Pelodiscus sinensis: one gene and its partners. The protein of the gene in region 1 interacts with the protein of each later gene in a biochemical or structural test. Links are inferred from orthologs where the notes say so. Each region holds a gene or a part of one and is shown in the gene's direction. Other genes may lie near its edges. The genes, in order: DLG1, ADGRA2, CTNND2 and VANGL1.

Evidence for each region.
Region 2: the proteins of DLG1 (region 1) and ADGRA2 form a complex in vitro, tested with the Homo sapiens proteins (2 studies listed by BioGRID and IntAct, with this or other methods). The link is inferred for Pelodiscus sinensis from reciprocal best matches to the Homo sapiens genes DLG1 and ADGRA2.
Region 3: the proteins of DLG1 (region 1) and CTNND2 interact in a test that uses a peptide from one of them, tested with the Homo sapiens proteins (2 studies listed by IntAct, with this or other methods). The link is inferred for Pelodiscus sinensis from reciprocal best matches to the Homo sapiens genes DLG1 and CTNND2.
Region 4: the proteins of DLG1 (region 1) and VANGL1 interact in a test that uses a peptide from one of them, tested with the Homo sapiens proteins (2 studies listed by IntAct, with this or other methods). The link is inferred for Pelodiscus sinensis from reciprocal best matches to the Homo sapiens genes DLG1 and VANGL1.

The regions. Positions count from the first base shown.
Region 1 is NC_134720.1:55,447,398-55,455,151, forward strand, and holds the start of DLG1 (disks large homolog 1), read left to right. Parts: upstream 1-4,503; 5' UTR 4,504-4,919; coding exon 4,920-4,938; intron 4,939-5,392; coding exon 5,393-5,524; intron 5,525-7,754. UniProt on the Homo sapiens protein: Essential multidomain scaffolding protein required for normal development. Recruits channels, receptors and signaling molecules to discrete plasma membrane domains in polarized cells.
Region 2 is NC_134738.1:14,952,023-14,959,370, forward strand, and holds the start of ADGRA2 (adhesion G protein-coupled receptor A2), read left to right. Parts: upstream 1-4,003; 5' UTR 4,004-4,248; coding exon 4,249-4,463; intron 4,464-7,348.
Region 3 is NC_134712.1:134,176,806-134,185,082, forward strand, and holds the start of CTNND2 (catenin delta-2), read left to right. Parts: upstream 1-5,176; 5' UTR 5,177-6,118; coding exon 6,119-6,155; intron 6,156-8,277. UniProt on the Homo sapiens protein: Has a critical role in neuronal development, particularly in the formation and/or maintenance of dendritic spines and synapses. Involved in the regulation of Wnt signaling.
Region 4 is NC_134711.1:143,780,701-143,788,066, reverse strand, and holds the start of VANGL1 (vang-like protein 1), read left to right. Parts: upstream 1-4,344; 5' UTR 4,345-4,427; intron 4,428-7,366.

The DNA.
Region 1 (7,754 bases):
CCTGGAGGTTTTTCACCTTCCTCTGTAGCATGGGGTACAGATCACAGCTAGAGGATTCTCTGCATCTTGGGGTCTTCAAAGTATTTGAAGGCTTCAATATCTGAGATATAGGTGAGAGGATTATTCTGGGAGGGGTGGGTGAGATTCTGTGGCCTGCACTGTGCAGGGGGTCAGACTAGATGATCATAATGGTCCCTTCTGACCTTAAAGTCTATGAGTCTATGAGTTACGCAGGGAGGTGGTGAATCTCCATCTCTAGGGGCTTTAAGTACTGGCTTGACATATCCCTGTCTGAGATGATTTAGTTGGGGTTGGTTCTCCTTTGAGCAGGGGGTTGGACTTGATGACTCTTCCAACCCTAGGATTCTATATCAGGGATATTAGTGGTACATAAGTCCAATAGCTCTCACTGCAGACAAAGAGCTAATTTCTAGCCTTAGTTATATAATTGCCATTTCCAGCAAGTTCAGTTGGAGTTGCAATCCTGTAACTGGGAGCATAATTCAGCCCCAAATAGTTTTATTCTTATTTGTATGCAAGTGTTGGAATCGAAAGTTTATGATAGAGAATCAGTAAGAGGAGTGCAAAAGCAAAGAATAGCATCAGCAGTTTGGGGCGCTGTTTCTTTGAGGAGAGCAACTGCGGTTCCGACCGACACCGATGGCAGTAGAGAAGGAACTGAAGGGACTGTTGCCGCACATGCGTGGCAGCGACACCATGCGTGCCGCCTGTCCCGTTTGTGCGGCTCACCAGAAGGCACTGCTACTGTAAATCTCCAAGTAGGCGCGCAGTGGCACCTCAAGATAAAGGTGGAGCACCCACCGGGATACTCCTCGAAGAAGTCAGCACTATACAATCTCAATAAACAAATAGTAAAAATCCATAGAAAACCATTGTCAAATGGGTGATATTTTTAGTGGTACTAACCTCAATGTTATTTACTATTTTTGTTAGTGATCATCACATAAATTTAAAATCACTGTTGATTAAATTTACAGATGACGCAAAGCGTGATGAAGTGGTCATGCCAAGCAATTTGGATTGCGTGGGAATCTGCTTTTATTGAAACAAAATGTGTTTTAATACACGCAAAAGTAAGATCATATGTCTGGATGCAATGAATGTTGACCATTTCTATAAAATAGTGGACTGTGTCATGTTAAGTAACTTAGTATCTATGGAAGATAGCCACAAAGCATCCTTAAGAACTGCGTGCAAGCCGTGGCATAGTGTATAGGCCTGGGATGAGACGGTGTGTCAGAAATAGGGTCATAGCACTGCAGAGATTCTTGCCCTATGAGGTGGCTTAACTTAGAGAAGTCCTCAGAGGTATCTAAATTACAGTATCTTCAGCCCCAGAAACAACCCAGAACTGGTGGAAGGGGGCTGCAAAGGTGTGGCTTAGTTAAAGCCACCTCATTCTCTCTCCCTCTGACTGAATTCTGCACTGCACCTCTAAAGGGCACAGCATAGAATTCCACTCGAACCATGCTAATAAAATTTCACTCTTCCTTTCTTGAAGATTTTCTCTTCATGTTCTAGTTACTCCTAGAAACACTGGCATCACTTTACCCTATCAGTCTATTCCTACAGAAGAAATAGAAATGATGGGAACTTAGCAATACTTTCTCAGGTGCAATGTGGTTTGAATAATTGCGTCCTAGTTTGTTGATCCATCATGTTGGCTTTAGCATTGATTTCCCCCCCCCAGCACTATTCATCAGCATCTGTTCTTCCTTTTCCTGCATGCATGTTCCTCCTGGTATTGTAGATTCATAGATTTCAAGGCCAGAAGGGACCAATGTGATCATCTAATCTGACTTCCTATATAACAGAGGTCACAAAGCATCTCCAAAAATTCCTAGAGCAGATGGTTCAGAAAAATATCCAATCTTGATTTAAAAATAGCCAGTGATGGAAAACCCAAGATGTTCTAATAGTGAATTACCATCATTGTTAAAAAGATGACATCTTATTTGCAGTCTGAATGTATCTAGCTTTAATTTAGGAATTGATTGTGTTAAATCTTTGCCTTCTGGATTGAAGAGCTCTGTAGTAAGGAGTGATCCACCCAGTGGGGCAAACTCCACCCATTGATATAGAGTCTACACTCAGAGACAGAGATTCTATTCTGCTTCACGAGTGAAGGGGTGGGGTGCCCCTGGGGTTGTGTATGGACTATAGTTTAATCACTTCCTCACTTGTATCCGGGACAAGGTGGGTTATGTCGATTGCTTGTAAGCCACCTACAGTTCTTGTTACTGCTGTAACCCACTCTTCCGCTGCGGATTGCTTATGTTTATTTTGTACAACTTGTTTGGCTTTCGCACAATAAAACTCTTCTATTACATTTCTAGTCCCCATGTATTAGTAAAAACTCAGAGGGGTGAACACCTTAGAATGGAAGTTGTTTGTGACTCTGAATAACACATGGCACTTTCAAAAGCTTAAAACTGAACATTGACTTTTAATACAACTTTGAAAGTTTGGTATGCAGAAGAAAAATGCTGGTTTTAAGCACCTTATTATATAAACTCTTTCATCAGCCTGTTCATTTACAAGCTGACCTCCTGAGATTGATAAGTAAAAATGGCAAAATACTATGACCCTTTCACAAGCCAATCCTGTATTTCAGGGATTGGCAAACTTTGGTTCCTGGCCCATCAGGATAAGCTGCTGGCATGCTGGGATGTTTTATTTACCTGAAGCATCTGCTGGCAGGGAGCTCATCGGTTAACTGTCTGGAAATGGAGATGGATCATGTGAGGATTACCTGTTGTGTTCCTTCCCTCTGGGGTATTGGCCACTGTGAGCAGATACTGGGCTAGCTGGATCTTTGGTCTGACCCAGTATGGTTGTTCTTATGTTTTTAATTGTTTACACTATCACATCATGAATACCAAAAACAGTGCTGTAAAGCTGTATGAAATTTGACCCATTCATTTTACAAAATGCTGTATCTTACAAGTCAATTACAAAATATGGCACTAGTGTCAGTCTGCTACAGTGTAATTTTGATCTCTTCATGCATGTTGACCACTAGACGTCCTAAGTCTCGAGCCAATCTGAAAATATAATGTGCAGAACTGATGGAATCTATAAAAAAATTTAAATAGCCTATTATTGCCACAGGCATGCTAATCTACAGGGCTGCTTCAGAATTAACAAAGCATGATTATAATTTGACTGTGATTAAGCAGGTGACATTCCCATGTAAAATCTTTAACAAAATTATTTTCTAAGATAGTCATTTATAGTATTTAAAATGAACAATATTGAAATAACACAAAGAGTAGGGATCACCGAATGAAATTACAATAGGAAGTAGGTTTAAAATAAACAAAAGGAAGTACTTCACAAAACACAGCACAGTCAACCTGTGGAGCTCCTTGCCAGAGGATGTCGTGAGGTACAAAACTATAACATGGTTGAAAAAAAAGCTAAGTACATTGATGAAGGTTAGGTCCATTAATGGCTATTAGCCAGCATAGGTAGGAATGGTGTCCCTAGTCACTGTTTGTCAGAAATTGAGAATGGGTATCAGGGGATGGATCACTTGATTACCTGTTGTATTCATTCCCTCTGGAGCATCTGGTATTGGCCACTGTCAGAAGACATTATACTGTGCTAGATGGACCTTTGGACTGACCCAGTGTGGCTGTTGTTGTGATTGCCTAGGAAGTAGCATTACAGAAAACACTCCCAAGCAACTGGTGATCTTCTACCCTGCCTGAAGTGATTCCAGGTAGCCTTTCTTGCACAAGACCGTCCACACAGTGTGGATCTTTTCTCTTGTGCAAAAGCACACGCAGGCTGTGTCTACATTGGCAAGATGCAGTCACTTTTGCACAAAAACTTGCCGCCTGTCTACACTGGCTGTGAGTTCTTCCGCAAGAACACTAACGTTCTAATGTAAGAAATCAGCGCTTCTTGCGCAAGAACTGTGACGCTCCCGCTCAGGAATAAGCCCTCTTGCACAAGTGTTCTTGCGCAAGAGGCCAGTGTAGACAGGCATGAATTGCTTGCACAAGAAAGCCCGCTGGCTAAAATGGCCATTGGAGCTTTCTTGCGCAAGCGAGCATCTACACTGGCATGGATGCTTTTGGGCAAAAGCACATCTCTTGCACAAAGGCACATGCCAGTGTAGACGCTCTCCTGTGCAAATACTTTAACGCAAAAACTCTTGCGCTAAAGGTATTTGCGCAAAGTCTTGCCAATGTAGATGTAGGCGCGGTGCGGCCGTTCTCTTGCGCAACAAGCCTGCAGGGCAGAGTAGTGAGCCAGGTCTGGGTGCCAGGGTGGGGCAGCTGCCCCAGCAGGCCTGCCCCCCATAGCTACTGCCACGCCCCCTGGCGAGAGGCGTGTCCATTGGTTCGGGGCCTCCCACGTGCTCCTGGCCCTGCCGGCTCCCCAGGCCACGGCGCCTTTAAGCGGCCGAGTGCTCACCTTGCCTGCCCCACTAGGTACCAGCCCCGAGCCGAGCTGACTCCTGATTGGGCCGCCGCTGGGCTCGGTCACGTGGGGGCTGCTCTCTCCACAGCCGCTGGGCCGCCATTTTGGCTGGAAAGTTTGGAATTTCCAGCGGAGGCGGCGGGAGGGAGCGCGCGAGCAGCCCCCGCCGCGCGGCAGTGTCGGGCGCGCGAGCCCCGGGCCCCCGGCCGGCTCCCAGGGCGGAGCTGCCTGGCGACGCCCGCCCGAGCTCCGAGGGGGCTGCCCCGCCCCGTCCCGGCCCCGCTCCGGACCCCGGGGTCCGGGTCCGTCCTGCCCTCGAGCGCGGGGCAAGGCCCCTCCGAGCCCGGCAGGAGCGAGCAGCGCGCCCCCCGCCGCTCCGCTCCGGCTGCCGGCCCGTGCCCCGCGCGAAGTTCGGGAGGGCGGCGACAGGGCGCGTCCCGCCCGAGTCCAGCGGCGCGCGGCGCACCATGCCCGTCCGGAAGCAAGGTGAGAGCCGCGCCGCGCGGACCGAAGCGGCGGTTAAACCGCCTCGGTGGGAGAAACCGTCACCCTGCGCGCGCGGCGCGGCCCGGCTTGTGCCGAGAGCGGGGTCAGCCGCGGGGACTCGGCGCCTCCCCCAGTGTCTGCGGAGTTCGCAGCGGGCTGCTTGTTGCTGAGCTCGCTCGGCGGACGAGTCCGCTCGGGGGCGGGTGGCTCTGGAGCTGCAGCGTCGTGTGTCCGTGGGCGCGTAAAACCGCCTTGGAGACACCTGCCTCTTGGGGAAGAACCTGCAGCAGGAGCGGGGAGTCAGGAACTCGTGATGAATTGGGTAGAGTTCTTGAAAGTGGCGTATCGAGCGTGTGATATCAAGAACTACTGTACTGACCACTATTGGGCAGCTGCTATCTCTCCCCTCATGGTGATGTTTAATTCTAACTTTTTGTTTTGTTTTTATTTGCAGATACCCAGCGGGCTCTGTATCTCCTGGAGGAATACCGCTCTAAATTGAGCCAAAATGAGGACAGACAGCTGAGAAACTCCATAGAGCGTGTCATTAATATCTTCCAGAGCAACCTTTTCCAGGCATTGATAGGTAGATGTCTACATTTTTTTTTAAAAAAAAATTTTTTTGTGCAAAATCATCTAAAATTTTTTTTAAAGTAAAAACACTCAGCTTTTCACTTGAGGGTATTAACAAGTGAGGTCTCCAAATACTTGAAAGTCTGAGGGGTAGTCGTGTTAGTTTGTAATTTTTAAAAACAATGAGTAGTCCTGTGGCACCTTAGAGTGCTAATGAGGCTAACTGAGTCAGCTGGAAGTGTCACATACTTCAGTTCTTCTGTTTGCACTTGGCTAGGAAGATGATGTCTGTTTGGATCCCTGTGAATTGTCTTATGCAGTTGATGGATTTCCACTTCAGACAGCTGAATGTAGTGCCTTGCATGTTTAAAATCCACGGAGGGGGAGCCGTGTTAGTCTGCAACTTGAAATACGAGTAGTCATGTGGCACTTTAGAGGCTAACAAAAATATATATATATATGGTAATGAGCTTTAGTGGGCAAAACCCACTTCTTCAGATGAGATTGAGTGGAAGAAAAATGGGGGGGGGGGGATTCAGAATAAGATAGGAGAAGGAGGGGAAAAAAAATTACCTGTCGACTGGAGTCTCAGTGCTATTTGAGTGGGCTGAAAGTGCCCATACTTCTGTTCATCTGTTTGTACTTGGATAGGAAGATATTGTATGGCATCAGCTACTTAAAAATTTATCACCTCAGCATCTTTTTGGAAGCTTTGGGTTTGGGGTGATTATATAGATATACAAAAAGACTTACCAGGAGTTGCGTGGGTCTTTCAGGATAAGGATGTCAATGGGTAACCGATTACTCGCTAAGCATCACGCTTACTGGGACCCTTTGTCTCCCCTCCCACCCCATCCTCTGGCTCTGTGGCCAAGGCCTGGGGGGAGGGGGAGAAGAGTTTAGGGCAGTGGTCACCAACCAGTAGCTCAGGATCTACCAGTAGATCTTGGAGCCTGTAGCGGGGTCAAGCTCTGTCCAGTCCAGCCCAGCTGACCCCCGCCTTCAGTCTCTCTCTCTCTCTCTCTCCCTCTGTGTCCCTGCTGCTGCATGGCGGCCGCTTTACAGTCTCAGCTGGCCCGTTGGCTTGTCCGTTCCCCGCTCTGTTCCTCGGGCTGTCAACAATTGGGCTCGGCCGGCCCATCTGCCGGGGGCTGCGTTGCTCCTGGGCCCCCCCAGAGGCATTCCTTTGCCGCTGGCCCACTCCTCTCTGGTGTCTGCCGTCCCGGGCGCTCGCCGCCCCTCGAGCTCTCCACCTGTGGGAGGTGAGAGCACAGCCAGACCCTGCTCTCCTCCCCCATGCTCCTCCCAGCCCTCCTCCTTTTGGGCGTGTGGCCCGGCGTCCCGCCCCCGCCCCATTGGCGTGCTGGCGTCCCTGGGCTCTAGAGTCTGCCGCTTGCGGCCTGCCCCCTGCTGCGCATGTGCTGCTGGTGCCCCGCTCGCAGAGGCGGCGGCGGCGCCTGTAGGGTTGGGAGCTGCCGGACAGCGGACATAAGTGCGGGGAGCGGTTTCCCCGCCACAGCGCCTCTGACAGGTGATCCTGACTGGTTTGGTCAGGAAGCTATCGCGTGCCAGCAGTTGAACTGCCCTGCCCCTCCACCCTCTGTCATACTGCTCCTGACCTCTGCCTGGGAGCTGCCCCCTGGGAGCCTCCTGCTTGCTGTGCAAGGTGTTGGGTAAAGGGGGGTGCTGATGTCAGAGTGTCCTCCTTCCCCCCCCCCCCGTACCCCATCTCCACACAGAGAGAAGGGAATGGAGGGAGCTTGGCAGTGCAAATCGCTGTAACTCTCACACACTGTGTGTGTGTCTGTCATTTTCACAAACACACTGTCCTTCACTCTCCTCTCCCGACCTAACACATGTGGGAGGTTGTTACTTCTTTTACTGCTTGCAAAGTGGGTTAGTTTTGGATTTTGACTGGTCTGTGCATTTCATCATTTTCATTTCTCATACATTTACATTTAATTCTTTGAGTGGTGAGTTCTAAAGTACCTAATCTTTCACGGCTAGAGTAATTATCCCTGTGGGAATTGCTGCTCCTGGAAGTGGCTGGCATGTCCCTGCAGCCCCTGAGAAGGGCAGAGCAGGGGGTCTCCATCCACTTTCCTTGCCTGCAGATGCCACTCCTGCACCCAACCTCTTGCTCCAGACTTGAGTCCCTCTGCACCCAAATTCTTCCCAGAGCTTTCACCCTGAAACCCCTTCTGGACTCCAATCCCCTGCCCTGGGCTAAGCCCGGAGCCCCT
Region 2 (7,348 bases), on another chromosome or scaffold:
CCATTGAGGCAGGGCAGGAGCCCTAGGTGCAAGGCCCTGCTCTGCCACAGACTCCCCCTGTGACACTGGGCAAGTCCCTTCACCTCCCTGGGAGCCAGGTCTTCAGCTTTGCAGTGGGGGGTGGGAAGGTGAAGCGCTGGACAGATGCGCTGCTGCTAGAGAAAGCCAGAAAGAGCCCTGAATCTCTGGCCATAGGCTGAGTGGGGGGGCTGGCAATCTCCCCACGGCTGGTCCTTGCAGCATGGCAGAGCAGCGAGTGGCTGGAGGCAGCCGGTCTGACAGGAGCCCCCGGCACAGCCCACGTTGCACCTGCGGACAGGCGGAAACGCTCACTGTCCTGCCTAATCGAAGCTGCGAATGCTCCCAGCCGGTTCAAGGCCTTCGCGGCTGCCTGGGCCGAGGGGGGGTCCCGATGGGCTCTCCTGGGGCTGCACATTTCATCGGCGGAGGCGGAAGGAAATTTGTTTATTTCGTGGGGCTCGGAATTCCTCAGCGGAAGCCAGGGTCAGAGGTTTGTACTGGACACACACGAGCCGACCCGGGAGACCCTTCTGCTTTGATTTGAGTCAAAGCCGGGAGGTTTTGCTTTCGAGGCTGGGAGCGGAGAGGGGGCCGCGCCCCGGCCACTCGGGCGGTGGTGATGTTGCAGCATCGGAGAAGTTCCCTCGGCAGGGCGGGGATTCAGGCTGGGTGCTGGTCTGGAAGAGCTCAGCGGGGCTCGCCAACAGCGGAAAGAACCCGGATGCAGCGCTCAGAGCATCTGGCAAACCGTTCTTGGCTAGTGGGGTTGGCCCTGGCTAGTCGCATTGATTCTGGCTTTGGACAAGGGCTGTCCGGTGGCGGGGCTCGCTTTATAGGCAGCTGAAATTCAGAAGAACGGGCGCAGGGGCACGGTTGCTCTGGAGACCACGTCCCGGCTCCAGGGGCGGGAGAAGCTGCCAGCCCCTTTCAACCGCTGGCTCCAACACGTGGCCCTCCGAGAGGAAAGGCCGGGCGTGCCTCCGTGCCAGGCTGGCTCTGGCTCCCAGCAAGGGTGGGTGTGGGTTAGTGCAGGCAGCCTCCTCCCCCTCCCGGCTCCCCGGAGGAGAGAAATGGGTCAGTAAGGCGATGCAGCATAAATGGGTGGGACAGAGCCTCGTTCTGACTGGCCAGGCCACCCACCAAACCCGGGGCAGTGCATACACTGCGCCTCTTTGTGTGAGTGGCCTCAATTTCCTCGGGGAGATCCGTATGAGGCCATTTCCCTGGGAGAGACCTTGCAACTGGGCCCTAATTGCTGGCTGCGTGAGGACGGACACGATCAGGCTGGCTTTTCCAGACACTAATTAATCCCTTCATCCAAGTCTTTGCCTGCTTCGGGATCTGTCGTTCTGTGCTCCCGAGTTGTCTCCTCAAATGGGTGGCAGGAAGCACGGGGCACCGTAAGGCCGGGTCGAACCTGCAGCGCTATTTCCAGACACCAGAAGTAGCCCCCAAAAGGCTATCCTGCGTCCTTAGAGCGCGCCTGTCATTTCGAAATGCAACGGGCTCGCTTTCCGACATCCCCGTAAACCTCCTTCCACCAGGAGCAAGGGCCGTTCCGGAGCAGCGGGTTCTGTGGACGTGAGCGCTGTGTAGGCAGCGTCAAATTTCGAAATAACCGCACCACAGGTCGAAATAAGAGACGCAATCTGAGCAATATGCGAGTCTGGTGTATTTCGAAATAGCAGGCACGTGCAAAAGACACGGACTCGCCATGCGGGGATACCTCCGGTGTCCGGAACTAGCGCTGCGGGGCCGGCGTAGCGCAGTCCCTGGTTTTCTGCTGTGGGTGGTGGTGTTCAAGCTCCAGGGTCCCTTCTAATCAGGTCACAAAGAAACCCAATTCCTTCCTTCTGCTACCAGCAAGGAGTCAGCGCGAAGGAGCTTTCCCCTCCAGGCCTGGATCCTCCAGAAGCGGCTCTTGGTTTTGTCTGGGCCTCTCCCAGTCAGTTTCCTGGAGGCAGCCCCGAGAGGCTGCAATTGAGGGCTCCCCTGCGTGGATCTGGCTCTCGCTTGCAGCTGTTTCGAATAGACACTGACACGGAGATTGGGGGACACTCCCAGAAATGGTGCAAATCTGCTTGCCAGGCCCCAGGAGCTGAGTCCCCGGCAGGCCCAGTTTCGGTTGCTTCCTGGGGTGGGTGGAGGGGTGCTAGGGAAGTTCAATGCTCCCCCTAGGCTCAGTGAGATCACAGCTCTTCTGTGCTTTGAGCCTTCATGGCGAAACCTTAAAAGCAGATTATGGGCACTGGGCCTACACTGGTATCTCCGTCCGCATGCAGGCCCTGCTCCACGGCCTGCTTCTCGAGGGGCCATGGAGCCAGCCGCCTCTCCCAGCACGTGGGTGTGTAACTAGACCCCAGCCCTGACGTGGGACAAGCAGGGCAAGGTACCAGCTGGATAAGGCGGGGTGGGAAGCCAGGCAGGAGGGGGTGGGGGTGGCTGCCTTCTGGGACTTGGGGCTGTGGCTGGCAGATGCCCCAGGATGGTGAAATAGCCAACCAAGGGAGATTGCCTGAATCTTTGGTGCCACCTTCACACTCCAGCCTCAGTGGCAACTCAACCCACACCTGGCCCCAGAAGGCTGCACCAGCACCGATTTGTGGCCTATTGGCTCAACTCTTGTGTCTCCCTGGGAGATGGGTGGGCTTCAAGAACGGCCACACGGGGTCAGACCAAAGGTCCATTCAGCCCAGTGTCCTGTCTGCCCACAGTGGCCAATGCCAGGTGCCCCAGAGGGAGTGAACAAAACAGGGAATCATCAAGTGATCCCTCCCATCACCCATTCTCAGCTTCTGGCAAACAGAGACTCGGGACACCCTTCCTGCCCAGCCTGGCTAATCAGTATTGATGGACCGAACCTCCAGGAATTTATCTAGTTCTTTTTTGAACCCTGTTCAAGTCCTGGTCTTCCCCACATCCTCTGGCAGGGAGTTCCACAGGTTGACTGCGCGCTGCGTGAAGAAAAACGTCCAATGTGTGGCCAGAGATTTAAACCCTGGCCCTTCAGGTTCAAAGTCTGATGCTCATCCCCTGCCCTGCCAAGAGGTGGGTTCTGTGGTTTCCTGTCTCTAATCGTAGCCTCCATCAAATGCTCCAGGATGGACAAGCTGCCCGGGCCCAGTGGTGGCTCAGAGTCTGAGCCCTCCCCAGATTTTGCAAATGCAGATGCAGGAGGCCCCCTCCCAAGGAAAACTTGTCCTGGTCCCAGCTGGGAGCCAGGCCCAGCAGCCATGGCCTGGGAAGCAGGAGGCCACCTGTGCCCACTCCTGGCTTGGGACTCGGAGCTGGGGCAGGGCTGCGTCCTCCAGGAGCTCAGCACAAGGTGTGGGGGGGGGGGAAGGGCCCCTGTGCCCCCCTACGGAGCCTCCCTCCAGAAGCACTGGCCGGGACTTGGGGGTAAGAGTCCAGGAGGCCGGGCGCCATGGCTAAGTGGGTGCAAGGAGCCTGGAGATTGGGAAGGAGGCGGGGGGGGGCACTGGTGCGGACGGGGGATGCCTGAACCCCAGGGGTTTGGAGCAGGCAGGCTGGGTGCCAAGAGGGAGGCTGCGTTGGAGAGGAGGTCAGGTGCCCCGGGGGGAGGCCGCCTGCCCTAAGCCGGTCAGAGGGGAGGCTGGGCGCCCCGAGCGAGGCGCGGGAGGCTGGGCTCCAAGGGGGAGTGTAGGGGTTCGGGGAGAGCGCGGGGCTCGGACCCAGTGGCTGGGGAGCTGGTGCACAAGGGGGAGCTTATGAGTCCCAGCGGGCTGGAGGGGAAGCTGGGTGCCCCAGGGGAGCTCAGGGGGCAGGAGAGGACGTCGGGGGGTGCCCGGGGGGAGCTGGCGTGGAGGCCGGAGTTGGCCCCGAGGGGAGCGCGCGGGACTCGGGGAGCTGGCGGAGCTCGGCGGCTCCTGTGCGGGGGAGTCGGAGGCAGGAGCGGGGAGGCGCTAGGGCCCCGCAGCCGGGCCTGGCTGAGCAGGGGAGGGACCCGGGCGGCAGGCGCCGCAGAGCCGCTAGGTCCCGTCCCGAGCGCAGCGGCCGGACCCGTCCCCGCTGCCGGCCCGGCGCGCCCGAGATGCCGCGGGGCGCAGCGGCGCGGGGCAGGGGGGAGCCGCGGGGCGCGGCCGGGGCGTGAGGCCGGCGAGCCCGGGGAGGAGCCGGGTCCCTGCATGGCTGCGCCCGGCCCCCGGCTCTAGGGCGCCCGCTGCGCCCGGACCCTCCGTGCGCCCCAGCCCCGACGCGCCCGGCAGGATGCGCTGGGCGGCCGGGCTGCTCTGCCTGGCCGCCTGGCTGGGCGCGGGGGGAGCCCGCAGCTGCCCCGCGCAGCCCCCCGGCTGCAAGTGCGCGGGGGAGCGGCCCAAGGGGCTGGGCCCGCCCGGCGCGGCCCGCAGGAGGCTGGTCTGCAGTAGCCAGGAGCTCCGGGAGCCGCCCGACCCGCGCCTGGTGCCCAACGCCACCGTCACCCTGTGAGTAGCGAGCGCCCGCTCCCCAGCGCCCCTGCCAGCCGCGCACCCGGAGCGAGCCGCCTCTGCCTCCCCATCCCGCCCCGCAGCGCGCACCCTGGGTCCCCTGCGCACCCGGAACGACCCCCCCACACGCAGCGTGCCCCCTTCTCTGCCTGCCTCCTAATGCCTCCCGTGGGTCCCCTGCCGGTTCCCTGCGCTCCCAGGATGACCCCCCCACACACACACCCAGCGTCCCCGCCCTCTGCCAACCCCCCAGCGCCCACCACGTCCCTGACAGCTACCGGTCGCTCCTGCCTGCCCTTGCACCCGCAGCGCCCCCTCTGCCCCAGAGCCCCTGCCCCGATTCCCCCTGCCTGCCCCTTACACACCCAGACCGACTGGCCCCCAGGGTCCCCGCCCCTCCCCGTGTGGGAACTCCGCAACCTGAGCCCGAGGGGACGGCGTGGAACGTCGGCTGTGTGTGGAGGGCTGTACGGCGGCGCCCCTTCCAAGCCACATAACGAGGGGCCAGGCCCTGCCTGGAGGAGGGAGCGGGCTGGGCGTCCAGGTGTGTGACTGGGAAGACCTGGCGGACTGCTTGCCGGAGTGGCTAGGAGCCCTGCCATGGCCCTCCTTGCCAGGCTGCAGGGGAGCCTGCCCACAGAGGCCTTGTCCACCCCAGATTCCTTGCTCAGAATCTCCCTCCCAGCAGTTCGGCTCAGGGTGACCGTGGGAGCTGGTGCTCTCTGCGTTCTGCTGCCTTGAGGTCTGGGTGCTCCCCTAGGGGCAGCGTGCACCAGTGGGGAGCGCATATTCGAGCAGCCAGGGCCCGGGCGGCCGTACCTCGCCCAGCTGGGACATGTCACATGGCGCCATGGAGGGAGGCCAGAAAATGGTCCAGCAGTGACTCTGGCTTCCGCTGTGTTTTGGTTCTTCCGAGCTCTCGGTGCCCACGCTGTGCCCCATCTCGTAGCCTGGGCTCAGGCCAGTAGCGCCACTGACTTTATTGCGTCCAGTTCTGGGGGCCCTATTCCAGGAAGGACGTGGACGCATTGGAGAGGGGCCAGCGGAGGGCGACCAAAATGCTGAGGGGGCTGGAGCACATGACCTACGAGGAGAGGCCGAGGGATTTGGGTTTGTTTAGTCTGCAGAAGAGCAGAGCGAGGGGGGATTTGAGAGCAGCCTGCAACTCCCCGAAGGGGGGTTCCAGAGAGGATGGAGAGAGGCTGTTCTCAGCGCTGGCGGAACAGGAGCAATGGGCTCAAGTTGCAGTGGGGGAGGGCTAGATTGGATATTAGGAAAAGCTAGGAAAGGGGGGAAGCTAGGGAGGGGCAGAATCTCCATCCTTAGAGGTTTTTAAGACCGGGCTTGACCAAGCCCTGTCTGGGCTGATTGAGTCGGGGTTGGTCCTGCTTTGGGCAGGGGGCTGGACTTGATGACTCCTGAGGGCTCTTTCTGTCATTCTGTGCACCCCTGGCCAGAATCAGCCTGAGCCCTGTTCCTACCAGGTCAGCGTTAAGAAGAATGAAAGTGGCTAACAAGGCGAGGCCTCTTTCTGGCCCCATTTGAGAGCCCACTGAAAGCCAGTGGAAAGAGGCTGGTTGATTTCAGCAGGCCTTGAATCCTGCTGGGTCTTGTTTCCTGTGTACTCTATTGGCAAAGTTCCTCAGGCCTACTTGGCCTGAAAATCAGAGAAATCAGTTTCACTTTGGTTTACCGTCAATTTCATTTCCACGGTTTCCTTTGGCAATCTCTGGCGCTTTACACAGAGAGCTTTTGTTTGAAAACAACGGTTTCTCCTGGAAATCATAACAGCGCGCATGTTTCTTAAAATAACTCCCTCCCCCCACCTCAGTCTGATTTTGGCAGCGTAAAGTTGGGATATTTCTAAAAGTTTCACTGTCTTTTCATCGCAGCGCTTGGTTTTTGGTGTGTTTTGTAAGCACACAAGAGGTCTCATAGTTGAAACGTTTCTTCAAAGTCCTTGGAACCTCCACGCCATCGTTCAAGGCAATGCTAATGATACTTTACGCTCATCCTGCCGAGGTTTTTGCGCATGCTTAGCCATACGTGCAGGAAGCAGGGTTCACCCGGACTGCCCACTGGGACTGGGATGTTAAGCATGTGTGTGAATCCTGCAAAGACTTAGGCCTGTGCTCCATTTTACACATTGTGACTTGTCTTACTGGAATCCCAGAGACTGCGGGTGTAAAGTCAAGCGTGTGGAGAAGTGTTTGTAGGTCAGGACGTGTTTTCCATGCTCCAGCACACAGGCGGGGGTGGGGGGAAGCAATTTTTTAAAAGCCGAGCAATGTTCTTGTTCTGGGTGTTAACTCTGGTTCGGATTTACTCTTGGATCCCGTTTATTTCGGAGCTGCTAGTAGTTAGTGGCATGGTGCGTGTTGGGTGGTTTTGATTCCAAAAGAAGGGACTTTGTTTTTAAAGCCGTGACGTGTTCATGCAGTGGCTGATTGGCTTGTTCAAGTGCAGAGGAAGTGGGGTCACGGTGTCCTTGTGCCTGACACGTTTGGGGTTCTGTTCACTAACGTACCTTGATTCCCCCCGGCCCTGGTTTAGCCTGTGTGCTAGAACAGCAGCCCTCTCGGCTAAGATTGTCGAAAGTGAGCAGTGATTTCGTGTGCCTGGCTTGTATCGCTTTGAAACCGTCTGCTTCTCAGAGGGTGGGTGCACAGTGCTTTGTGAAAATCACGAGTCCCAGCAAAATCAAACGTACAGATTCTCTAGTCCTGTTGGATAGTCGTGGCTTGTGTGTGTGCGTGCGTGCGCACACACAGTTGAGCATGTAGATATAGAGAGAATATAACCTATTTTGGCAACATGAAAAATCTTCCCACAAAGATGCCACTCAAGATGTCTCTCTGCTAATACAACAGTAATTAGTCACA
Region 3 (8,277 bases), on another chromosome or scaffold:
AGATGGAATTTTAAGTGTTCCTAAGGGACCTACATTCACAGTCTTAAATCATTTGGGTTCTTTTGAAAATCTCTAGTCTCTGAAAGGGGAGTTTCAACACAGCTCTTTGTGGGTGGGAAGAGAAACAATTTAAGAAAAATGATTTGATTTGAATCTAGAAGATTGAGCTAGAGAAAACTCTAATTTGTAAAGTGTCACGCAGAAGGACCACACATTTTATATTTGGAGATCCCACTTATCCAAGTTATCTTATTTCTAATGGTCCTCTTCTGTGGTTCTTTCTCTTTGATCCATTAGAAGCAAATGTCCTTCTTCCAATGCTAAAGCCACTTAGCAAATGAGACAGTGTCAAGGTAGAGTTCATATTAAATTCTGATTTTTAATTTTAAAATTGAAAGAGAAAATATATTATTCCCATAATCCCTCACTAGCTAATTAAATAGCAAAAGGGAAATCAAATAAGACAGAAGTGTGAATATGGAAGCAAAATGAAAATACATACCAAAACAAAATCTGAAATGAACGAAAATGTTTGATAGAATCTCTATAGATGGTAAGTCCATGCTCTAATAATAAGCAGGGCTCGACAAATAATACAATCTACTTGCCTGTGGCGAGTAGATTGTAACCTGGAAGAGCCGGGTTTGGGCAAGCTGCACATGCGCAGATCACCAGACAGCGTGGTTGGCGAGCGGGGCTCGCTGCAATTCGGCGAGCCCTGATAATAAGTATATAGCAGCAGGGATATATTACTGACTACCTGACCAGGACCATGTGCTGAGACCAGCAGTTAGAAGCTGTGAGCATCTTAAGGAGGATTTGAAACCTATAACCCTCTGTTTGTTGATCAAGCCTTCAGCAGGGGGTGTGGTTATCAGGAAGGCAGGGCTATATAAAGCGTACTAGTATGCGACCAGGAAGCTAGCAAAGAGGAACAGCTAACAGGGAGTTTGTGAGGAAGTTTAGAGGGGGAGTTTGAAGGGGGCTAGATGCATTCTTTAAAACTTCTTTTAAACTGAACTAAATCTAAACCATCTGATCTAAATCTAAACCATCTGATCTAAATAAAAATCCTATCAATAATCTAATTATTGGCAGGAGAGAATGCAGGCAGAAGTGCAGCACCAGAGTGCGGGTTATCCTGTTTATTGTACCCAATGTAGCATGTATACGTAGGTGGCGTATGTGTACATTCAAAGCAAGGAGCTCCTGGCCCTCAGAGACCATGTACTGACTTTGGAGGCCAGGGTTAGCTGAACTGGAGGAGCTAAGGGACACAGAGAGGTATACAGATGAGGCTTTCTGAGACACCGTAGAACTGTCCCACCTCCGGTCAGACAGCCCCTGTGTTGTTGAGGAGGGTGAAAGTCTCGGGGAAGGAGAACATTCAATTGGAGCAGAGGGAAATAATCTCATAGTTGGGACCCCCCTTCATCTCTGGGGGGAGGGAACTCCAGTCATTAGGATAAGGCAAGTAGTTAGTAATGGGAGATTCAATCATTAGCAACTTAGCTGGGTTTGTGATGACTGAGAGAACCATATGGTGACTTGCCTGTCTGGTATGAAGGTTGTGGATCTCGCGAGATATCTATCTATCTTACGTAAAGTTAGTTGTCATGGGACAACACGGAAGGTCCTTTCATGGACTGATAACTGGTTAAAAGACAGGAAACAAAGGGTAGGTATAAATGGTCAGTTTTCAGAATGGAGATAGGTAATAAGTGGTGTCCCCATGGGTCTGTCCTGGGACCAATCCAATTGAACTCATTTATAAATGATCTAAAGGCGAAAGAGGTAAACAGCGAGGTAGCAAAATTTGCAGATAACGCTAAACTGCTCAAGATAGTTAAGAACAAAGCAGACTGTGAAGAGCTTCAAAAGGATCTCACAAAACTAGGTGATTGAGCAACAAAATGGAAAATGAATTTTAATGTTGATAAATGCAAAGCAATGCACATTGGGAAAATATAATCCCAACTACACATACAAAATGATGAAGACTATTTTAGCTATAACCACTCAAGAGAGTGTTCTTGGACTCATTGTGTATAGTTCTCTGAAAACATCCACCTGTTGTGCAGTGGCAGTCAAAAAGCAAACGTATTGCTAGGAATCATTTTAAAAAGATAGAGAATAAGACAAAGAATATTTTAATGCCTCTATATAAATCCATTGTATGTCCACATCTTAAATACTGTGTACAGATGTGGTCGCTTCTGTCGTGTGGTTTGGCTTTTGGATATGAGAGGAGCCAGTAAAAACACCTCAGATAGACTCTTGTTAACTTTATTATGCACAGAATAGTAAAGGAAAGCAGTGCACAGTTACAGAGATCTATTTCAATACACAGGATAGTTAATACAGACAATAATATAACACCTAGGGCAATACTCAAGATACTTGATATTAAGGATACTTATTTTTATAAATCACACACACATAGTTCCACCGCTAAGACGTTACAATTATCAGATGATTAGATGATTGTCAAATTCTCAGATGATTGTCAGATTCTCAAATGACTGTCAGATGGGAGGTCATGGTCTTGTTGTTTCCCCATGCACAGAGGCGTCCACAATACATTAGTTGGTAGGAACAGGCACAGCTTCCAGTTATAGCGAGTAAGGTAGTGGGGTCCCCTTACCTCTCACCGATTACCTTTTCTACCCTTATTTTATAACAAAGCGAGACTTGACGTGGTCGTTCTAGTGAAATCTCCCAATTAATCATCGATTGTGTATGCCCCTCTTTTGTACACATTCTGCTAATCAAAATACACTATACTTAGCTGATAGTTTTATGGCTGCATCAGTGATTTTATTCATTAGCATTGTTAGGTCCCAGTACTGGGTTACTCCCAATGTTCTTGGCACGGTTTCTCTATACCAATACACACAGCACACTATTGTTTACGCACTCCTGACTTTCAAAGGTCAACCCTTGGCCTGGCCCATGTGCTTTCATGCACGAGGTTCAAATCAGGCCTGGTTTGCCTTATAAGAAGCCTCACTTTGGTCAAGGCAGCCATCGCTAGTCCAGTCCATGAAGGGCCGGACCCCACAGACATTATTATTCTGGTCAAGACGAGGTTGTCCAGGCTCCCTTACAGCTTCATCTCAAAAAAAGATACATTGGCATTGGAAAAGGTTCAGAAAAAGGCAACAGAAATGATTAGGGGTATGGAACAGGTCCCATATGAAGAGAGATTAAAAAGACTAGGACTTTTCATCTTAGAAAAGAGGAGATGATAGAGGTCTATAAAATGACTGGTGTGGAAAAAGTGAATAAGGAAAAATTATTTACTTATTCCCATAATATAAGAACTAGGGGTCACCAAATGAAATTAATAGGTAGCAGAATTAAAACAAAGAGAAGGAAGGTTTTTTTTCCTCAGTGCCTGGTCAACCTGTGGAATTCTTTGCCAAAAGACCAGGAATATAACAGGGTTCAAGAAAGAACTAGATAAATTAATGGAGGTTAAGTCCATCAATACTTATTAGGCAGAATGGATAGGAATAATGTCACTAGCTTCTGTTTGTCAGGGGATGAAATTGGATGACAGAGGGAGATTACTTAGGGTGTGTCTACAAACTAGCCTAAACTCGAAAAAGATACACAATTTGTATTATGCAAATTGCATATCTTATTTCAAATCTATCTTGAAATTGCTTATTTTGAAATTTGGCACCTCTACATAGCGCCAAATTTCAAAATAGCATGCTGTTTCGAGACATCCCTTAACTCTCATGGAACGAGGATTACCAGGATGCCAAAATAGTGTGCCATTTATTTCAAAAAACATTTCAAAATAATTGGCAACTTGTATAGTTGTGGGGTAGCTATTTCACGATATGTCTGGTATCCTGAAATAGCCATCCAGAGTAGACATACCCTTGAGGATTACCTGTTTCTGTTCACTCCCTTTAGGGCATCTGGCATTGGCCACTGTCAGAAGACAAGATAGTGGGCTAAATGGACCTTTGGTCTTACTCGGTATAGACATTCTTATGTTTTGTTCCAAAGAACGAATCATGACATTGGCATCAGGAATTCATGTGAATTAAAAGTAATGATCTGAAATTACAGCTTCTAATCACTTCAAAATATTAATATAGGAAATAACTTTTACTAACATGTTAGTGAAGAATAATGTATGCAGTGTTGTAGCTGTGAGGGTCCCAAATATTAGAGAGACATGGTTGGTGAGACTATCTTTTAGTGGACCAACTTCTGTGAGTGAGATTTTACACAGCACTCTTCTTCTTGCCTGATAATAGGCATGATTTAGTATTGTTTGGAAAAATAGTGGAAATCACCAGGCAAAAGGTGGCAGCAATGAGTCATTCTGAAATCTGATATTGGAGGCATTCATTACAGTCTGCTCAATCTGTATGAAAATATATTTTTTGAAATTCACATCTGCTAAGAAAGTGCTTGCTAATTACAATTTATTGACAGATCGATTAAATGACTTTGTTCTAAAATTAAACTATGTATTTGGATGCCAATCAAGATTTAAAAAAGGAAACAGTTCGTCCCCTCCCTCCAAGTCCTTCTTCTCTCCCCCCCCCTCACCCCACGCCCCCAAACCCAACCCTTTCTTGTCTTAGATACGCAGTTCTCCTTGACTAGAATTCAGGGACTTTAGACCTGTTATCAAATGCAGGCATCACCCCGACAGCTCAGCTGACTACATGGATTTGCTGATGGTTACAGCTGTGCTTAGGTCACTGCTGCTAGGCAGGATCAACATATTTTCCAAACGAGAAAACTTTGCTCCAGAAAATACACGGCAAAGGGGCTGGGCTATAGCTGCAATGGCATTTTCCCTACGTTTCTTCCGCTAGCAAGGAGTTACATCTACATATCTGTCGTGTTTCCTCAACAGCTGTGCTTGTCTGGAAGGAGACACCTGGAAATTGTTTAAGTGGATTTGCCATCTAAGGATGAGTGTAGCGGGGAAGGAGAGCGAGGCACACAGGAGCAGGGGCTGTAAGCAATCGCTCCATTCTTTGCGTTAGTTGACCTGAAGTTTTCATCAGCTCAGCTAAAGCGGGTGTTGGGGAAGGGAGCAGGTGGCAGCGCAGCCCAGCCCAGCCACGCTTCAGCCGCATCTGCTCTCCCATCGGAGGATAACTCAAGGGCATTTCCCACATTCCCCTCGCTGGTCCATGGGCAGCAACCGTATATGAGCGCGGGCATCCTGCGAGCGCATTGTTCCCTGGCCGGGTGTGTCCTGCTTGTCTACACGCACCTGCGCTATTGACTGGCGCCCACTCCAAAGCCCCCGGCCAGCCTCACGTTGCTGGCCGTGGCTTTGCGTTGCTGCGCTTTCTCCCGAAGCCCCCCTTTCAAACAAAGCGGCGTGCACGCCCTGCCTCGGGGGAACGGCATGGAGGGGCGCGTGGAGAAGGGAGGGAAACGGCCCAGCTTCCGTGCGAGGCTGCAAAGAAGAAGGCGGCGGCAGCAGCAGCAGCGGCAGCACTGAGCCCAGCCTGGCCAAGGAGCCCATCTTCCCCCAGCAGCCCGGCTGCTGGCGCTCTCGGCAAGGCGGCGGCGCGCGCCTGCCCGGGACCCGACGGTGTTCGAACGCTGCCCGGGAGGAGCCTCGCGCCCCCACCTCGCCAGGCGCAGGTGGCGGCGGCGGCGGCGGCGTCTCAGTGAGCGAGAGAGCGAGCGCAGCCGCCCACCCCAGCCCGGCTCCTCAGCCGCGCCAGGCGCGCGCTCCTGCCGGAGAGGGGAGGAGAAGGGAGCGCAGCGGCAGCTGTGCCTGTATCGTCTCCAGCCCCAGTCGGCGGCGGCGGATGTGCCCCGCAGCCGCCGCTGCTGCACCCGAGCGCCGCTGCTGAGCCTGGCAGCGCCGCGGAGAAGAGGGGGGGAGGAAAGCCGAGTCTTTGCCTCGCTCGAGCAGGCGGTGGATGTGGAGCCAGCCTCTCCCCTCGCAGCCGCCGCCGCCACCAGGCAGTTGTCCCACGGAGGAGCCCAGCCCCACCGCACAAAGAGAAGGATGCTGCAGCTGGGCAAGGTCAGGACCTTGAATTGAAACCCGGGGGCGCCGCGCGCACCTCCCCCCCCTTTGCCCCCACCGGCTTGAGGATTTGCCTTGGATTCGCTGTGTATGCTTGGGAAAAAGCAGGCAGGGTCGACGCCGTTCGGTGAGTGCAATTGCGATCGTAATGGTGCTCGTGCCTTATTTCTTCCGCTGCTGCTAGCAAGCATTGGCTTGTCGTGCCCACATTGCAAAGGCCCCTCTCCTTTCTAGAAGGCAGCTGTGGCTGGCTCTGGAAACATGGCTTGTGCCTTCCGCGGAGAGGTAACAAAGTGTATTTTTCCTCTGCCGCCCCCCCCCCCCCCCATACGTTAGTCGCCTGCTTATGTAGGGCATCAGCAATACTCGCTTCCCTGCCACCCCGCAATGATATACTCATTACAGCACTGAAGTCATAAATCTATCCTGGGAGGGGGGAATAGACCCTGCTCTGCCATGTAGTCCTGGGCTGTTGTGGTCCATGCCGTGACTCTGTTCCTTGCAGACCGAAATTGAAATACTTAGTCATACGCCCATGTCCGCTTCTTCGGCTTCTTTCCCACGTTGGAAACCCTGAGAGTCTATATTTAGAGCCATCAAATCGTGAGATTTCAGTGCCGCCAGCCGGGTTCTTGGGCATATGTATGGTGACAATAAGTATGGGCTTTTCTGCTTTGGAACCGATGGCTGTGACACATCCGGCTTTGGGGGGGGGGGGTTGGTGGGAGGGAGGAAATCGGCGTGTGATGTGCAAGGTGATACTCGGTTGATCTATAATTAATGGCTGAAAGGAAAGATGCTTTTCTTTTCATTTCCTTACTCTTATTCTGGTGTGTGTAGTGTGCTTGCATCGACTGCTTCAAAGGTAGCCTCAACTGAGTCAAGTCACTATAGAGGAGGTGCGGCAGCACCATAATAGTTGTGTGACAGGGGAAACTGATCTGGCTGGGAATTTTTGGAGGAATAATGCTACGGAAAGATCATTTTTAAAACCGGTCTTAAGTTTTCCCCTGAATATAGGGCTCAGTGGTAGGGATTCAAAACGCGAGAAACAAAACTGAAACGTATGGTCACTCTTGTGTATTTTCTGTTAAATCTTTAAATATTATGACGTGATTTACTCGGGCTTAGGAATTTACTATTGGTCTTAGAGATTAATTTCAACACAGAAACTTTCAGTTGTTTCCTATAAATAGACAGGAGTAGGCTTTATTAAACTGCCAGGTATTCACTCTTCTGAACTGCAACGATTGCATTTGTTTACATAAATCTCAAAACACTGATGTGATTCTTGCTATTGTCAAGAGAAAAAAATATAATTTTAGTTTGTTCCTCATACATCATGTATGTATACTATGCAGAGTCATTCAAAGGTGTTACAAGACACTAGAGGGATTTTCTGTTTTCAAGAAAGAATTGACTTATCCAATACAAACAACTATATAAAAAACATGTAGAACTGTATTTAAACCTACAGAATGTGCCTGTGAGAGACTGAGGGGAAAAACATCTCCTAAATACTCATTTCATACAGTGGAACACTTTAAATGGAAGTCGGGAAAGTTGCCCAGTCTAGGAGGAAGAAAAATTATAGTGATCTACATTCACTACTGAATTTCTCAATTCAGGTAACACACTTAAAACTACTCAGTAAATAGAGCGATTTTACCATAGAGTGAGTTAAGCTTAAACAGGTATGCTGAAGGTATGCCTTATTGGCCTTGACTCTCAAAATTGCTTGAGGGCTTGCACAAATCCTTTTATGTTAGCAGTTTATTTGCAAAAGATTGGGACACCTGTGGCAAATACGCTAAACGTACACATTTTATAAATTCTCAGGTGGTTATTTGAGACCAACACTGTGCAAAGTTTGTGAAACTCTTATTCAGTTGGTAAATGAGTTTATCTTTTCAGAGCTTTGTATGCATACAAGTGTAAATAGGCAAGCTGAAGAGAGAATGTCTAGATAATTATTAACAGAACTTGATCACTGGCCTAAAACTGTTATTTGAGGAGCATGATATGTTGAAAACTTCACTATAGAAACCCAAGATCGCATCTTCAGAGACAGTGTTTGCAATCTGTTATATAAGAGAGGCTTTGAGGGGGGATGGGGAGGGAAGGAAATAAGAGTAGTAGACTATGCTGTGCACAAGCCATATGAAATACCCTTTAAAGCTGCTAGTAGTCAGCAAAGAAATCCCTTTATTCCTGAATGGGAGTTGAATGTCTTATTGTGGATTACAAAA
Region 4 (7,366 bases), on another chromosome or scaffold:
TAAATCAACTATGTATTATTACTAGGGAGGTAACCTAGTTACAGATGATGTGGGAAAAGCTGAAGTACTCAATGCTTTCTTTGCCTCTGTCTTCACAGACAAGGTCAGCTCCCAGACTACTGCACTAGGCAATGCAGTATGGGAAGGAGGTGGGCAGCCCTCAGTGGAGAAAGAACAGGTTAAGAACTATTTAGAAAAGCTAGACATACACAAATCCATGGGTCCAGATTTAATACATCCAAGTGTACTGAAGAAGTTGACAAATGTCATTTCAGAGCCTTTGGCTATTATCTTTGAAACTCATGGAGATCGGAAGAGATCCCAGATGATTGGGAAAAGGCAAATATAGTGCCTATCTTTAAAAGAGGGAAGAAGGACAATCCAGGGAACTACAGACCAGTCAGCCTTACCTCTGTCCCTAGAAAAATCATGGAGGGGATCCTCAAGGAATCTATTCTGAAGCACTTGGAAGAGGGGAAAGTGATCAGGAATAGTCAACATGAATTCACCAAGGACAAGTCATGCCTGACCAATCTGATTAGCTTCTACGATGAGGTAACTGGCTTTGTGGATATGGGAAAGTCAGTGGATGTGATATACCTTGACTTTAGCAAAGCTTTTGATATGGTCTTCCACAATATTCTTGCCAGCAAGTTAAGGAAGTATGGATTGGATACATGGACTGTAAAATTGATAGAAAGCTGGCTAGACTGTCGAACCCAACGGGTAGTGATTAACGGCTCAATGTCAGGTTGGCAGCTGGTTTCTAGTGGAGTGCCCCAAGGATTGGTTCTAGGGCCAGTTTTATTCAACATCTTTATTAATGACCTGGATGAGGGGTGGATTTGTATCCTAAGCAAGTTTGTAGATGACATTAAGCTAGGGAGAGAGGTAGATACATTGGAAGGCAGGGATAGGGTCCAGAGTGACCTAGACAGATTAGAGGATTGTGCCAAAAGAAATCTGATGAGGTTCAACAAGAACAAGTGTAGAGTCCTGCACTTGGGACAGAAGAATCCCAAGCATAGTTACAGGCTGGGGACCACCGAACGTTTAAGTAGCAGTTTGGCAGAAAAGGACCTGGGGATTACAGTGGATGAGAAGCTGGATACGAGTCAACAGTGTGCCCTTGTAGCCAAGAAGGCCAATGGAATATTAGGTTGCATTAGAAGGAGCATTACCAGCAGATCTAGGGAAGTGATTATTCCCCTTTATTCAGCTCTGGTGAGGCCACATCTGGAGTATTGTGTCCAGTTGTGGGCCCCCCGCTATAGAAAGGATGTGGTCTCATTGGAGAGGGTCTAGTGGAGGGCAACCAAAATGATTTGGGGGCTGGAGCACATGACCTATGAGGAGAGGCTGAGGGATTTGGGCTTATTTAGTCTGCAGAAGAGATGAGTGAGGGGGGATTTGATAGCAGCCTTCAACTTCCTGAAGGGAGGTTCCACAGAGGATGGAGAGAGGCTGTTCTCAGTAGTGAGGGTTGGCAGAACAAGGAGCAATGATCTCAAGTTACAGTGGGGGAGGACTAGGTTGGATATTGTGAAATAGTTTTTCCTTAGGAGGGTGGTGAAGCACTGGAATGGGTCCCTAGTGAGGTGGTGGAATATCCATCCCTAGAGGTTTTTAAGTCTCCACTTGACAAAGCCCTGGCTGGGTTGATTTAGCTGGGATTGGTCCTGCTTTGGGCAGGGGGCTGGACTTGATGACCTCCTGAGGTCTCTCTCAGATCTATGGCTGTGTCTAGACTGGCAAGTTTTTCTGCAAAATCATCTGCTTTTGTGGAAAAACTTGGCAGCTGTCTACACTGGCCACTTGAATTTCCGCAAAAGCACACACGATCTCATGTAAGATTGTCAGTGCTTTTACGGAAATACTATGCGGCTCCTGTTTGGGCAAAAGCCTTTTTCTGAAAAACTTTTGCGCAAAAGGGCCAGTGTAGACAGCAGAGATTTCTTTTCCCGCAAAAAAGCCCCGATCGCGAAAATGGCGATCGGGGCTTTTTTGCGGAAAAGTGCGTCTAGATTGGCCACGGACGCTTTTCCGCAAAAAGTGCTTTTGCGGAAAAGTGTCCTGCCAATCTAGACGCGCTTTTCCGAAAATGCTTTTAACGGAAAACTTTTCCGTTAAAAGCATTTCCGGAAAATCATGCCAGTGTAGACGTAGCCTCTGATTCTATATATTTCAGATACAACCTGTGGCATTACTCAGGGAAGAGGAGGACAAAAAGGGATGCATATAATCTACCATCCCCCAAATAACATCACAATAATCTTGTGCCCTGTGTTAACATATGACCATGTAGTCTATGCTCTAAAAAATTATTAAAGTGAAAGTATGGCTACAGCACCAGAACTGCGAGAAAACTCTCCCAACACTGTGTAAATCACTTAAATGAGGAGAGTAGCTAACAGTGCTGGGAGCTCAGCCTGTTTACTTGTGCTCAGTAGGGTGTTTTTTCACACCCCTGAGGGACAAAGATTTAGAGAAGTGCCAGTGTAGACATGAGTAGCATATCGTCTTACTTTAAATATAGTCTTATTTTAAATGACAGAATATTTACTAGTAGTTAAAGCACACAGTAGGAAGCCAGGAGATATCGATTCTATTGCTTGCTCTGCCATTGAAAATTCTAGGCTATGTCTACACTGCAGGCTTCTTGCTCAAGAATTTTTTGCACAAGAGTTCTTGCGCAAAAAGGTCTTGCGCGAGAGCGCATCCACACTGCCATGTGCTTTTGCGCAAGAGCATCCATGGCAGTGTGTATGTTCTCTTGCGCAAGAAAGCTCTGATGGCCATTTTAGCCATAGGAGTTTCTGGTGCAAGAAACTCCTGGTTTTGTCCACACTGCCTTCTTGCGCAAGAGCTCTTTTGCAAGAGGGCTTATTCCTTGTGGGGAGAGGAATAACTCTTGCGCAAGAAGCCTTCTCTTCTGATGCTTTACTGTAAATTTACTTGTGTAAGATCACGCATGCAGTGTAGATGCTCTGCAAGTTTTTGCACAAGAACAGCTGTTCTTGCACAAAAAGCCTGCAGTGTAGACGTAGCCCTACAGTCTAAATAAGACAAGACAAAAGGGGGAAACGGAGGCACAGAGCGGTAAAGTGACTTAGATCACAGAGGTCAGTGGCAAAGCCAGGAATATAACACAAGTCTCCTGACTCCCTGTTTAGTGTCCTGTCCACTAGACCACAATGGCTACCCACCAGACTAGGAAGAAGAAGCTAGACAAGGCAAGCAGGGAGAGAGCTCTGCAACTGCAGGGCTTATTTCTTGTCCTTGGTCACTTCCCTCACCCAGAGTTATTCTGTGCAGCCTCTATTGATTTATTGGATTCCTTTAAAGAGCACTGGGTGCTGACTGGACTACAGGTCACTGCAGCCTCCTGGCATGTGTGTCCATAGTGATTAATTGAGCCCTGGGTGGAGAGGGCTGATCTTGTAAGAGGGAATATTGCAAGAGTACTTGAAATGGATGCAATAGAGTGGAGGTGCAAGAGGTTGAGATGGGAGTGAGAGGATTTAGTGTGGGAACTGGGAAGGACTGGTCCTCAAAAAGGTGGGTGGGTGGGGAGGTGTGTGTAGGAGCCGGGTGCTGAATACATGGTGGCAGTGGTGAACGTAACTTCACATTTCTTTTAGGCACTGTCCTACTACAAGCTCGGTCCCTGCCAGCTCTTTCAGTAGCTCCCTGCTGGCTTTTGCCCCAGCTCTTGCCACTGTTAGGCTATGTCTACACTTGCGGCTTCTTGCGCAAGAAAACGTCCACGCTGCCACATGTGCGCTGTGCTTTTGCACAAGAGTGCCCATGGCAGTGTGGACGCTCGCTTGCGCAAGAAAGTTCCAACAGCCATTTTAGCCATAGGGTTTTCTTGCACAAGAAATCCCTGCCGAGTGTCGACACTGCCCTCTTCCGCAAGAGGGCTTACACCTGTTAAAAAAGAGCGTCGCTCTTGCGCAAGAAGCCCTCTCTTACCACGCCGGACTGTACATTTCCTTGTGCAAGAGCGGACTGGCAGTGTAGACGCGCTGCAGATTTTTGGAGTGTAGACATAGCCTTAGAGCGGAGCACTCATGTACTTACACGGCTGGAGGTTGGGATCCCTGCGGGGAGCTTGCAGTAGGTCCCAGTGGGAGAGCGACGAGCGGGGGGGGAGGAGAGGCAGGAGGCTGCGGGGGTGCCAGGTGGCGGCCTCAGCACTGGAGGTGCTTCGGGGAGTGTTGTTGTGGGGGGTGCTGGAGCGGGGTGGGGGTGTCCTTGGCCGCTCACAGCAGATGGGGGGGGGGGGGGGTCTTGCAGGGGGCGGTCCCTGCAGGCGGGGCGGGCTGCAGCGGGCGGGGCGGCGCCGGGCACAGGAAGCGGAAAGCGGCGGGGCTAGCGACTGCAGCGGGGCTGGCGCCGGGAGCAGCATGGAGCGGCCGCGAGAGGTGGGTGCGGGCGGCCCGGCTCCCCCTGCGGCTTCCCCGGGGCCCCACCCTGCACGCGCCCCCCTCCCCTGCCGCCGCCCTGCACGCGCCCCCGGGGCTGCCCCGCCGAGCCGCTCCCTGCGGGGTCCTGCTGCGGCGGCTCGCGCCCCGCTCCCCACGCGCGGGGCAGCATCCCCGGGCACGGAGGCCCTGCCCCCCCCCGCAGTCCCGCACCCCCCAGCCGGGCCTCTTCTGCCCCGCCACGGGCGTGCGCTCTGCCCCCTCTCCCAGGGGCGCCGGCCGGCATGGGCATGGCTCTGGGCTGCGTGCGAGCTCGAGCCTGTGTCTGGTGGCCCCGGGGGCTTCACTCTGGCAGGAGTCTCTCTACCTCCGTTGAATCGGAGTGGGGGGGGACAGGCGCGGGGAGGGGGGGGGCTTGCAAGTCCTAGCTCCCAGCGAGTGCGCTTGTTAGTTCCAGCTCCTGGCTAGTAGGTGCCTGATCCCCGCCCCTTTTGGGCACCCCGCGCACCTCTCCCCCCCCCCCCCCACAGCCTCCTGATTACTGCATGGGTTGCCCAAGCCTCTGTTTTCTTGTTCGTCTGCCTCTGCTGCTCAGAGCGTTCCCATGTGTCAGCATGCATCAGATGAGCGTCTTGTCGTTTGGCACGGCTGCCCAGAGTCCTGGATAAAAGCAATGTGCAGAACTGGGCTCTCGCTAACTTCAGACTATGTGCCGCGGCCCAGGCCCACTGGGGCTTGCCAGCAGACCTGAAAAGACTACAAGATTGCCAGGGAAAGCTTCCCACTCGTGGGAATACATTTGTAAAGCCCCGTGTGGGAAGCAAAGTAATAATGGATTAATAAACAAGTGAATTAAAGCTGAGTTCAGTGCTCCTCAAATATATCTAGTTCCCTGGATGATGTCCATTGAAGTTGTTTAAATTCCAAGTCCTGCGTGTGGGCAACTGTAGGTGTGTGTATAAGACACAATTTGCAAGTAAAGCATAACGTGATTTAGTTATACAGAAGTTGGTTTGATCAGGTGGTCTACTGTGACAATTCATGACTACACAGGCCTGTGTGGTTGCCTGTTCTTAGACCATGGCGATTTAATAACCTTTAGGGAACAGAAATAAGTCTTAACACCCTTCTGCTTCAAAAGCATAGGCCTGCATCTGGGCTGCAGAGGACTGGCACTCCTGTAGTTTTTAGCAACATAGGGTGTGATTGTGTCCCTGCAGAGGACAAAGTTACTACTTTTGTCAGTTTGTTATATCAGTTGTGAACTTTGAATGACCGGAAAAAAAAAAAAGAGAGAGAGAGAATTAATTCCATTGTTTAGAATGTTTACTTAATGGTTCGAAATAACATTCTTGCTCCAAAGGCTGGGCTCTTTAGCTACGTGTTTCCTGAAGATGCCAGTGTCAAGGTATCAGCCCATCTAAGGAGGCCCAACTAACAATTGTACTGAGTGCTAGAATATCAGTTGGGGGAATAGTTTTGATTAGTGGGAGATTTTTTTTTTTTTTTTTTTTTTGCTGTTCGGCTTAGTTATTCTTGCCTCAAAGTTGCTGTGTATTTAACCTTCTAAGAATTTGATTTTAAACAGGCTTGCCTTTTTTCCCCTTTTTGTGGTTTGAATATATAACTGGCTGTGAAGATGGGACCAGTACTGGTCCTACAGGAATTGATTATCTATCTATTTTTAAGATGAACAAATCAGAATTACAGAAAACCTCCCGTTTACAAAAACAAAACAAAAAAACAAAAACAAAACCCCATTTACAAAAAAAAAAAAAAAAAAAACGCCTCCCATTTACCAAAAAATTTTGCAAGTCAAAATTCTGGAATGCTTTCCAGCACACGTTCAGCCACACAGAGAGGTAGCTAACGGCCAATGGCTATCCGCCAGGAACATGAAAGCTATGCAGATACAGAGACTACCTCTAAATTAGTATTCTGCTGCTAAATTGCCATGTTTGCTACTGTTCTTTCACCTCTGCCATTGGTGGGAAGGTTAGTGTAGTCAGGGCTCCAGATAGTGACCAGTATTCTAAGCACCATAACCTCCGACACTGCTCAGAGCATGTTTGCATGAAATAAATTGTCAGAATGCTAGCAGCTGCTAGTGCCTTGTTGATTTAGTTCTCCCAAAAGAAGAGGAAAGGGCTGACAGGGTACTACTGTCAAAGTAATATGTTTGGGAAATAATTCCTTCCTTTCACTTCAGGTTTGCTGTCCCATGGAGATGATTAGAGGGATTTCACACTTCTTTTTGGTGTAAATCCTACCCTTCCTCCATGGTTTTTAAGGCATTACAAAGCCCAGTTCTTTCCCCCAAAAGGATGGGGGAGCTCCTGCAAGAGATCCCAGGTTGTGGAGCCCAACTAGATTGCTCTGTAGGGATTTGAGTTTGGGATTGTAGTTCCACTGACTTCCATCCCCTCCCTTGAAGTGTAAGCAGTGCAAAGGGCCCTACAGGGTAGGGCAGCTCCCCGAAGAGTACAAACAGACCTCTCAATTGTTTTCTAGAGTCTCAGCTTTTATTTGGAAGAACCCCCAAAAGTCTAGCTGTTAGAGAACTTTGAAAACATGACCTTAATATTGCCAATGCAGATTAGTATACCTGCATTTGCCAGGGGCCTGAAACAATGGTTCCGAGATTGAACTGCCCTGTTTGTTTTAATGAACACAAACTCGGAGACCAAGATGCTTTAAATGACAAGTGTTCACTATGTCACTGCTCATGAAAGCATAGCCTTCACAATAGGATATAACACCAGAGTTTCTTAAAGTGTTGGTTGTTGTGGGGGGTCCCCTTCCAAGGGGCCCACAAAAGAGTAGAGGCATGGGGGGCATAGAGGATGTAAAAACTAAGAGGTACAGGCTCAACTTCCAAAAATTTGGAGAAGGCTGCTGTAGCCTTAGAGCTGGAGGAGGAGTCACAAGGAAGCTCTGCT